Caenorhabditis elegans: one gene and its partners. The protein of the gene in region 1 interacts with the protein of each later gene in a pairwise test. Each region holds a gene or a part of one and is shown on either strand. Other genes may lie near its edges.

The links.
Region 2: the proteins of hif-1 (region 1) and nhr-114 interact in a two-hybrid assay, tested with the Caenorhabditis elegans proteins (one large-scale study listed by BioGRID).
Region 3: the proteins of hif-1 (region 1) and kin-4 interact in a two-hybrid assay, tested with the Caenorhabditis elegans proteins (one large-scale study listed by BioGRID).

What each region holds. Positions count from the first base shown.
Region 1 is NC_003283.11:20,778,385-20,782,140, reverse strand, and holds the start of hif-1 (Hypoxia-inducible factor 1), read right to left. Parts: upstream 1,735-3,756; 5' UTR 1,640-1,734; coding exon 1,620-1,639; intron 827-1,619; coding exon 636-826; intron 510-635; coding exon 355-509; intron 310-354; coding exon 1-309.
Region 2 is NC_003283.11:4,185,124-4,188,879, forward strand, and holds the start of nhr-114 (Nuclear hormone receptor 114), read left to right. Parts: upstream 1-2,079; 5' UTR 2,080-2,085; coding exon 2,086-2,269; intron 2,270-2,483; coding exon 2,484-2,686; intron 2,687-2,884; coding exon 2,885-3,223; intron 3,224-3,278; coding exon 3,279-3,409; intron 3,410-3,485; coding exon 3,486-3,607; intron 3,608-3,659; coding exon 3,660-3,756. UniProt on the Caenorhabditis elegans protein: Probable transcription factor which may have a role in detoxifying dietary metabolites arising from bacterial tryptophan metabolism.
Region 3 is NC_003282.8:11,423,987-11,427,742, forward strand, and holds the start of kin-4 (non-specific serine/threonine protein kinase), read left to right. Parts: upstream 1-1,755; coding exon 1,756-1,814; intron 1,815-2,147; exon of another isoform or gene 2,148-2,168; intron 2,169-3,756. Other genes in the region: F22B3.8 (Tyrosine-protein kinase), read right to left, coding at 1-147, 295-518, 566-711, 894-899.

The DNA of each region.
Region 1 (3,756 bases):
CATTGCAGATGCATTTGCATTAGTTGTACCCTGTCCAGCAGGAATTGTGATACCTTGCATGAATGACACGTGTCCACCAGTTGAAACTTTTGAATGAACCAGGAAAGACACTGATTTGTACAAAGCACTCTTCAAATTCAGACATCTTCCACGTGGGCTGATGACTGTCTTCATTCGAAGCACCATGTTGATGCCGGTGGTGTCTGTGTCCTCGCCACGTGGCTTGTGCAGCATTTTTGATTGCTTGTCAAACTCGTCATAGTCGGATGGATGAAGAAAGTCTCGAAGGGCTCGACCTGTTAAATCTGTCTGAAAATATATCGATGTTAAAGAAGCAAGTTTTCTATTGCTCACCTGTGTTAATCCTAAATACATTGCAACACTTTCAGTGACGTAAAGAATTGAAGAATCACTGTCAACAATCATAACAAAGCCGTCCAAGCATTCGGCGATGGTGTCTTCAGTCCATACCTCATTTGTGATTTCATTGTCCAAATTGTTTTCCAATACTGAAAGAAAAATATTAATTTGAGAAAAATTGGCAGTGATTTTTGGTCGATTTTCTCAGCATAAAACACGATTTTCAAGTGATTTTTGATGTTGAATCAACTATTTCTTTATTCGATGTCACTTACCATTACCGGCTGTCTTGCGCAGTCGACAAATTGTGGCGGCAACACGAAGAAGTGCAATACGGTCTAGATGAGTTACGGTACCTTCTTCAACAATAGGCACACACATTTTCAGATCATCAAATATATCCGATTCTTTAGACCGACGATCACGAGCCGCGTGTCTCGATGTTTCACGACGGCGTTCCATGTTTCTAAAAAGTTTGATTTTGAATTTCTTGTCACCCCAAAATTGGTGAATTTCAAAAAATTATATACCTATATAAGTACACTTCTCATGAGGTTTTTCGATTTAATTTAGTTTTAAGTATAACTGGGAAAATTTATTTTTTCAAAGGTGGAGTAGGAGGAGCCAGTGGAGAAAGTGTTGAAAACTAATCCAATGGTACTAAAATGACCGAATATCAAATTAAAAATTGTCAAAAATTTTTTGAAATTGTTTATTTACCGTCCGTTAGATGATAATCACTCAATTTTTGCCACTCATAATTTTGGAAGCATAGTAGGGATCGGAACATGCGGCATTCCTCAAATACTTATGTTTGTAAAAATTTTGGCCATTTGCCAAAACTTTGACCGGAAATTATGAAAAATCTAAAAAATTTTTAAGTGTTTTATTATGATTTTTGGTTGTTTCGAGCCATTGTAAGTGTATTTTTTAGGCAAAACTGCCACTGGCGCTACTCCACCTTCAATCACAATTATTTCACAATTTATTTTCATAATTTACTTTATCTAACATCTCCGATTAAAAATGAGTTGTGTCTAAAAAGAGCGAGATATATTTTATATAGATGATTCACATTTGATATTCGATTCGGAAATGCGCATTTTCAATACATCTACCTCTGCCAATGCTCCCTCTCTCTCATTTGCGAGCAGAGCATGGAGCAAACCCAAAGGACTACGGTACTTCTAGCGTTTTCAGGCATCCAATCATGGAATGTTTAAGAATGAATTTCGATTCTAACAGAATTCTAACTCTACCTTTTCCGATTGTCTTCCATCTTGATAGTGAATAGGTGCAGCTTCAGTGAAGCTGAGGTTGGTGTGATTGGGGCAACTTCCCCGTAATGACGGGCAACTTTCAGGTGGGCTGAAAATGTATGACAATTTTAAATTGAATAGAATCGGGTAGAGGGAATTAGAAAAATTGTATCAAATGTTCTTAAAATTATCATTGAGAACATAAGGGGTTGTTAGATTTTCGAATGTTAACACTTTTGAATAAAAAATCAAGTTTAGTTATGATTTATAGCACTAGGGTAGAGTGTAGTGAGACAAATTGAAACATCATAAATACCAAGGGTGCACAAAACGATCGATTGGATATGTTAGTGACAGTTGTTTGGACGGGGTCCCAGAGGACGTCAAGATTTGTAACAATTTCATGGACAATTGACTATTTGTTAGGCAAGTATCATAAGAATGTTGCAGAAAACAAATCATAGAGATCAAATGCTCAATTTAAAACCCAAATCTAAAAACAAGAACTTAGGTAGACTGGAAATTTCGCTGAATTCAATTCAAGAAAAATTGTCAATTTCTTTATATTGAGTGAATACAAACTGATTACAAGAATCATGTGATAAGCCAGTGAAGGAGAAAAGGGCACACAAAAAGATTAAAAGCAAAATTTTCCCGATTCAAAAATATAAATCTGGATATTGATGTTACGTCAATGGTATGAATGGGGCAAGATTGAGGGGGTGACTAACATCAAACTATGAATGAACTACGATCAATCTTTGAAAAAATTGTAGTTGAAGTAAGTCAAAGAACAGGGGAATCACTAGAATGTAGTGTTTTCACCGAGCGTAAACAATAATGTTTTTGAAGATAACTATACTCAAGTTCAGAAAGGGTAGTTTGTGTAGTGATTTTAGTTTATCCTTATTATCAAGTGAATTTCAAATAAAATAGTTAAGATCGGGATTCAATCAATCTTTGGACTTAAAGGCGGTGTAGTCGAATTTTTAATTACTCTATTACACTCAAAATTGTCTGAAAACACCGAATTTTCTAATTAAATTTTTGAAAAGGACACAAAAAAACTATGGCGGCCCAAAATATGACAAAAAAATAAGTTTTCAGCCGCTGAGAGTTGCTCAAATTTTAAAATTTAACTGATTTTAGGTCCTTTTTGAGCCACCATAATTTTTTTGAGAAGTTTTCAAAAAGTTTCATTAAGAAATTTGGTGTTTTCAGACAGTTTTGAGTCTAATAAAGCTAGTCCTTACATCTCATATCACACTTTTTAGCTTAATCGAGAAATTGAAAATATCGATACATCAAGAGAGTGCACAATTAATATAAATCCTCAAAATATAATAAAGAATTGTCGAAAGTTATTGGAACATTAAATAAAATCAATAGTCATATGAAACGAGGGAAACAGATAGTCATCATCAACAAGCGGGAGGCGACGACAAAATGTAAGAAGAAAGATGTTGATAAGACAAGAAATTGAACGACAGTGGGCAAAACGACTTCTCAGAGACTGTCGATTGACAGAATGTTAGACAAAAAATTGGGGGAAAGCTAGAGTACAGAGAAGTAGAGTGACTGATAATTGATTAAATTTAGCGAAAATTGAGTTTAGTCCATATCTTTATAATGGAAAGGATCAACTTTTTCCGATATGTGGTTCAGGAGCTATGTTTTGACATTGGAGTTAAATAAAAATTTAAAATACAGATCAATGAAATCAAACCTATTAGCGTTACCTTTGAACTATAAGAATTAATAGATTTTCTGAAAATCTGAAATCTCTCATTAGAGAAAAACTGAGCAGCTAGTGGGCGGTGCCTACAAACCAAAGATGGGCATCCAAACATTTCTTCGTTGATCAAAAAATGAATTAGAGAAGTAGAGTTTTCTCTGAAAATTGAGAGAGGTGAAGAAAAACCAAAAAAAAGACCTCTCATCTAACACACTCTCTTGACCCAGTAAGTACATAAACCACGGAGACACGAGACAAGCAGGCAGACATATTGAATAGTGTGCGATTTGGAGAGAGTCCAAAGAGATGAGAGAGTGAGAGAACTAAAGAGAGGACAACGTCAGTAGTGCTGTCGCGACAGAATTCCGACGCGCGCGTACATCGCGATGATGGTCAAGAGTA
Region 2 (3,756 bases), about 17 Mb from region 1:
ATTTTGTTTTAAAAAGTTGCACGTGGGGTCAGAAAGTCCCATTTCGCTTTGATCTACAAAAAATGCGGGAGGTGAGACGCAGACATCTCAACTGATTTCGCATGGTTAAGAGTGTGCTGACGTCACAATTTTTCTGGGAAAAAAATCGCGCATTTTTTGTAGATCAAACCGCAATGAGACTTTCTGACACTACGTGAAGTTGGATTTTTGCAATCTTCCGCGATTTTTTTTTCATTTTGTTTGTGATTTTTTAAAGAAATTTAGGACAATTTTGGATTTTTGCAAAAAGTCGCTTTGAAGTCTGAATAAAAGCATTTTCGGCGTATCCTGCGCGCATGGGTCTCGCCACGCTGACATCGAAAAAAAAAATTCTGAGAATGCTGCGTATTGTGCAACACATTTGCCGCGCAAAATATCTCGCAGCGAAAAAGAAAACTACAGTAATCGTTTAAATGGCTACTGTAGTGCTTTTGTGTCGATTTACGGGAGATCGATTCTTTAATTAAATTCTTCTTTTCAAATATTACCGGTACAGAGAGTGTAGATAGTTGAATGGACACAGACATTCCGGAACCCAAGGGGCGGGGCGCGGGAAGAGACGATTTTTGTCGATTTACGGAGTGTTTTTATTCACAAACTCTCCGTAAATCCATACAAATCGGCTCTTCCCGCAACCTTGGGTTCCGGAATATCTGTGTCCATTCAACTTTCCTCATTCTCTGGACCGGCAATATTCGAAAAGAAGAATTCATTTCAAAAATCGAGCTCGTAAATCGACACAGAAGCACTACAGAAGTCATTTAAACGATTACTGTAGTCTTCTTTTTCGCTACGAGATGTTTTGCGCGTCAAATATGTTATGCAATACGCATTCTCAGAATTTTTTGTACAAATATTGATGTTTTTATTTTAATCATAAGATGGTTAAATTTACCAACAACTAATTCTTAAATTGATTAGCACTTATCAGTGTCTTATCAGCAATCAAATGACCAAAACATCTAATAGGACGAATTTTCGCCTATTTCTCAGCAACTAACAATGCAACTTTCTCATTCTTCATGTCTCCTGTATCATAGACAAATTGATTAGCTCACGTAGTGCCAGACGGTCCCATTACGGTTTGATCTACAAAAAATGCGGAAATTTTCGCCCAAAAAAATGTGTGACGTCAGTACGTTTTTAACCATCCGAAAACAGTTGAGAACTCTGCGTTTCTTCTCACCCGCATTTTTTGTAGATCAACGTAGATCAATCCAAAATGAGACACTCTGCCACCACGTGTAGCTTCTTCTTCTGCTGCTGCTGCTACAGTCTGTGTGTACAAAAGTCTTCTCACATAGTAGGTAGGTGCAGACTTCTTTCTTTATCAAATCTTCCCTTCTTCAACATTACATGGCGTGGTTTTCTCGTGGCATTTTCCAAGAGAGGCTCCACCCCCCCCCCCCCCCCCATCGCATGTACTTTGTTCATTGGTCAAGAAGAATCGTATATAACGGGCAGCGATAACGTCCCAAATCTTTGTCGTATGACGACGGGGACGATCGGAAATTGAGAGGAGGAGGGGGTAGTGTGAAAAATACATGAGGACGCGATGAAGCTGCTGGTCAGCAGCAGGCCCCAAGCCACTGTGTTTTATTGCAAGACAGTTCGATCTTCACGTTGATATCAGACATATATAGAATATACATCTCAAGGTCTTCTATTCTCATTTCTTAGGCAGCCTGTTAATATGTTGATAATGAACAATCATTTGACCGCCCGTTTTTCCGAGTCACTTCATCAAGGACTTGATTTCTTTCCAAAAAAACTTCCAAAACCACCCAGCAAATCATTGTTTCAAAAAAAGTTTGCTCAAATGATTAGAAATCAAAAGTTCAAATGTTTTTTTGCAACAGCTGTCCCTAGCCTGTCTCACATCACAGTTCAATTGTTGTAGTTTACCTCTCCTCTTCTCCTTCATTTTATCTCTAAAACGCATCGATTCGGGGGCACTTTGCATTTGTTATCGTGTCTAGTGTCTCTTGGCATTATTCTCGTTGTCACAAAAAAAACCAATACAAACAAGGCGTATTTCAGGTCAAAATGACACCTCAATCGTCTCCGAGCTCGTCTCGTGATCACGTTTGTCTCGTTTGTCAAGATTTCGCTTCTGGCTACCATTATGGTGTCCCGTCATGTGTCGGATGCAAGACATTTTTCCGGCGAACAATTATGAAGAAACAAAAGTACATTTGCCAATTCGAGGGCAATTGTCCAGTTGATAAAAGTGAGTTATTTAGCACACTTGGTGTCAGGCTGTCCCATTTCGGTTTGATCTACAAGAAATGCGGGGATTTTTCGCCCAAAAAATGTGACGTCAGCACGTTCTTAACCATGCGGAATCAGTTCCGCAATTCTCGTAGATCAAAACGAAATGGGACACTCTGACACCACTTGTTAGCAGTAACAAGGAACTTATAAAAAATATTTCAAAAGTTCAGCTATCCGCTGTGCCTGCCGATACTGCCGATTCGAGAAATGTTTGAGCGTGGGAATGGACCGAAACGCCCTCCAACAAAACCGTGACCCTATCGGATACACAAAACGTACCAGGCGTCCAAAAAAAGAGCTGAAGACTACCTCGGACTGTTCAAGTGACGAAGGAGCAAGCACCCCACCATCAGTGTCTCCATTACAGCTATCGGTAATTAATTAGTCCAATTACGGTTTGATCTACAAAAAATGCGAGAATTTTTTTGCCCAAAAAATGTGTGACGTCAGCACGTTCTCAACCATGCAAAATCAGTTGAGAACTCTGCGTCTCTTTTCCCGCATTTTCTATAGATCTACGTAGATCAAGCCGAAATGAGAAACTCTGACACCACGTGATCCCAAATTACAGCCTCCACCAATCTCGCCACTCCTTTTCCAAGCTGCACCACTGAAACCTCGTCGCTGCATCCTACAAACTCTTGCCGAACGCGAAAAGTGTGCAAATGATCTCCGACTCTCCGAATATCTTCCAATCCGATCTCTCCACGAGGCTCTATGCTCAAAGGCTCTGCTGAACGACACGGCTTTTTTGGAAAAGTGGGGACAGCCGAGTGAGAGACATCAGATCTTCGATCTACGATTCGTCAATCACGACGACTACCACTATTGGCACGAGAGAGACTGGTTCTTGTTGACAGAGTATGCCAAAACATTCGATGTTTTTGAGGCGCTCGATTATCAAGATAAGGTTGGAAGAAAACCAGAAACATGTATAACGATTTAATTATTTCAATCCTTTCCAGGCCGAACTTGTTCGCCATGCCGCAATAACAGTCCCAGTCCTGGTTCAAGTCTGGAACTCCCCGGACTACGGACCAGACACAATTGTATTCCCAGATGGTGCCTACTTCGATCGTACTCCAGAGCCAACCCGGTAAGTTGTCGGTCACATATACTCCAAACCGAGCCCCAATTCCCGTCTCGTTCCGCGTTGTGTTCAATCGTTATAGGCCAGCCGGACTCAACAGGAAAAAGTATCAAATGTTGGATCTCGTGCTCAAGCCGTTCCGTGATCTACAGCTCGACGCAACCGAATTTGCAGCGTTCAAAGCGGTAACGTTTCTGAATCCAGGTCCGGGCGGAATCTCAATAAGAGCCAAACTTTCACTTTGATGCGATTCCAGACGCTGACATCTCTCTACCGGCTCGCAAGCTTGTGAACAACGAACGAGTCCGCATCACCAAGCAGTTATACGGCTACATGGCCATGAAAGACGACGT
Region 3 (3,756 bases), on another chromosome or scaffold:
CAATAGTCGGAAACTTGAATCGCCGCTCAATATAAAACGAGGTCCATTTGCCGGCGGTTTCTTCAATAAACAAATGCATATCCATGTTCTCTTTCTTCACATCCTCCAGATCCCCATAGAAACTTCGTGTGGTGCCGGTTTTTTGTGCTGAATAGGGAACATAATTGTAAAATCTAGAGTTTTTCAACGAACAGTGAGGGCAAGTTCCCCGCAACAGCTTGACAACTTATGAGAAGTTCATTGAATAAGTTTCCAAGCTGCTAGGAAGTTAAAAAAACAAAAAATAAAACAAACTGATATTGACGGACAGAACAAGAATGACACGAGTCAGTGGAATCGGATCAGTGGCACTTTTGTCCGGAGTCGTCGGCTTCTTCGCATTCTTCTCTGGTTGATGCGACAATCTCAGGAGAAAGTCTCCGTTCGTCTTCAACAAGATCAGTTGTAGCTCTTGGAGCACAAAACCATGGAAAAATTGGTATCTCAATAAATAATTGTCAATCATTTCATTAGTTACTCTGGAAATTAAAAAGTGTTTTGGGATATTTGGGATAAAGTTGCTCACCTTCCAACGCTTTTAGTTTTTTCTACATTTTGATACATTGAGTCGTCCGGAAAATTGATCATAACTGAGTTTGAAATACTGCTGCCATCTGTTGTCCTTTCAGTCTTTTCGGTCGTTTCACTCTTACATTCTTTTTTCTCAGATTTCTGAAAATTGAAAATTACATTTTACTATACCAGGAATACCGAATTTGTCTTTTTTTTAAATAATCATACTACAGGCGACCCATTGCAGGAAACTTATTCTAGAATTTCTGATGTCTTATTTTATTTTCAGGTAGACGCGTAGCCAGGTACAGGCAGGCTCGAACTCCCGCACTCCAACTCACCTTCATTGCAAAAATTTTACGACGATTTTGAGTAAAATTATATTGGGAAATAAATAAGTTTGCCTCGTCGTATTTGTTTTTTTTTTCAATTTTTTTCACGGGAGTTTATGTATTTAAACATACAGACAGTGATACAACTCAAATTCAGAAAACTTCCAGGAATCAAACTTCATCTGAAGGATTAACGGTTAAACCAAATTTTCCTGACAACAAAGTGCAAAGTCACTGCTCGACAGTTAGGAACAACTTCCTACTCCTGCCATAATTTAGCATCTTCCTATCAAACCTTTCATCAGCGGCAAGCAGGCAGGCGAGCACGTCTGAAAAATTCATGTCTACTATCGAACCCCTTAGAAAATATATTCATTTTTTGCAATTCACAGGATGTCAAAATATTGAAAATTGTTGCTTATAGAGTGGAAAAAAGGAGATTATTATAATAGCTGGTCTCAAATGTCAACGGCAGAAGTATTTAACTAGATTAATATTTTCAAGTTTCATGTTTTCGGATATGTCACCATTCACCATACACTTTACCATTATCTAAATCTAGAAATGTTACAGTAATCCATGAGCACACAAAATCAGAAAACGAAGAGCAACCTTGTGATGAGCTGGAAAAAGGGGATTAGTAGAGGTGAATGTTGAGAACAGGAAAGAAAGAGAGAGTGAGAGGATCAGAAATACTTTCAATTTATTTATAATTTTATTCACATCACAAATCTCTCTCCACTCAACTGCCCATAGTGATTGATAAGCTCCGGCGTTTCGCCTACTCAACGTTTCCCTCCAAAAACTCCAATCTAACTTTTTATTTTTGTTTCTAGCCAATCTTTTTTTTTTTCTATAGTTTCAGAATCAAATGCTCAATTTTGGAGTCGTTATGTATCAAAAGAAGAGCCCAAGTAATGCAACAGAAAAGTGAGTTCTGAGTGTATCTTACCAAACCGAAAAAAGTAAAAATGCAACCTATAAAACAAGATATTATCTCTCTCATTGCAATAGAAATCTCCCCCTAAAAAAAATCTCTTTGCACATGTCTCTGTCAGTTCTTTTTATGTTTTGCGTGCATAGAATTGCCGATTGTCGGATGATTTTCTTCTTCGTTCGATGAAAGCGGAAATAATAGAGAACAGCGTTTTATTGTGGTTTTTTGTTTTTTCGTGTCAAAGTTTCTGTAAAAGTCATGATGGTAGAATTTGTTCTAACTGTTTTATTCTTTTATTTTTAACTTTCAATTTAATTATAAATCAATTGCATATTATTGTCCATGTAATTAAGCTTTTAAGTTATCAAGAATAAGTTGAAAATTTTATTTGCAAATATTTTTTATGTCGAATTTCGATGCAGATAATGTTTTTTTTTTCCAAAACCGCTAAAATTATTTCAATATTCTTTATTTTTTTTCTATAGTTAAAGAAAAATTTTTTTAGAAAATTAACAAAAAAACTAAAAAATTACCAAAAGTTGTTCATTTTGATGAGAAAAAACATGAAATGTTTTCTCTGAAAAAAAAGGAAAATGGTCAAAATGTTAATATATTTTTGCAAAAATCGAATTGTTTTCGAAATATCTGAAAAACTAAAATTTTTCGGAAACGGTTTTTCTATAATACGCTTTGTATGCCAGGATACATTAAATAGAGAAAAATTGAGACAAAGTCCAATTACTGAAAGTGTAACATTTTTCTTTAAATTATGATCTAGGATAGTTTGTTAATGAAGCGATATTGCTTCTTGTATGCATACCTATGTATGTATGTCATTTCCGAAGTATTATAATATGTATCCTAATCAAGAACATGGATCATAAACATCTTTATTTTTATTATTTTATCTTTATTTTTCAACTCGATGTAAATTAAAAATCTTCACTAGTAGCCAGTAGCTCGACTTTGCAAATGCGTTCGTTTTAGATTTCGTCTTGTTTCCGATTGGCCCGGTTATTACGTAAGCACCTAAATTTTAATGTTATTGCATCTCATCACTACTTAAAAATGAGTCAAGTTTTTGAAATAGAAATACGAGCTTCATTGTGAAGATCACGATATTCTTTTTATTCGAATAAATCTGGTTGCATAGCTGTAGTACGTCAACGGACGAACCTGGATGAAATAGTGAATAAATATATTTTCTATAAAAAGGAGAAAATAAAAGAAATGTTATAGTTGACAGTTAATCCTTTGCATGGTGAATCTGTTGGCGGATGCCAGTTAATCTCCCTGTTTATCCGTATGCTCATATTTTTAAGTCGTCTTCAGTCGTTGTCGTTCTAAAAAATTTGGCCATCGATTGGCTCAGCTTCGTCTTTTTTGCCTCCTTTCACTTCTTCTTTTCTTGTCCGATTTCAGAAAAATTAAGATAATAAATTGCTTCAAATTTTGAAGTGCAATACACTTTCGCAGTCTAAATGCCTCTTGTTTTCTAAAAGTTATGCCAATTATTTATTCTTTAAAAATATTGGACTTACTGCCATGGAAGTCATATAGTTTCGCTACAAAAGTAGTACCTGTTCTGTGGTTTGGGTATTTTTCGAATTAAAATTTTTCCAAACTCAACTTTTTTGTGCAATTCTAAATGTATTTTTATGAGTATTCTTTTTTCTCCCTCTCCTATGTACATCCGCCAGCAGATGCTTGTTGAATTCTTATCGAAAGCTCTTTATCAGAACTTATTTTGAAAAAAATGTCAAGCATTCTCCGAGCATAGGTTTAAAATATTTCTGAAACACAGGTACATTTAACCAATCTCTCAGTTGAAAAGGTTACAATTTTCAGTATCAAATAAAAAAGTATAACACAATAATCTTTTGCACTTGACTCGCGTCATTTATCTGATCAACATGGCTTCATGCTCGGAGAATG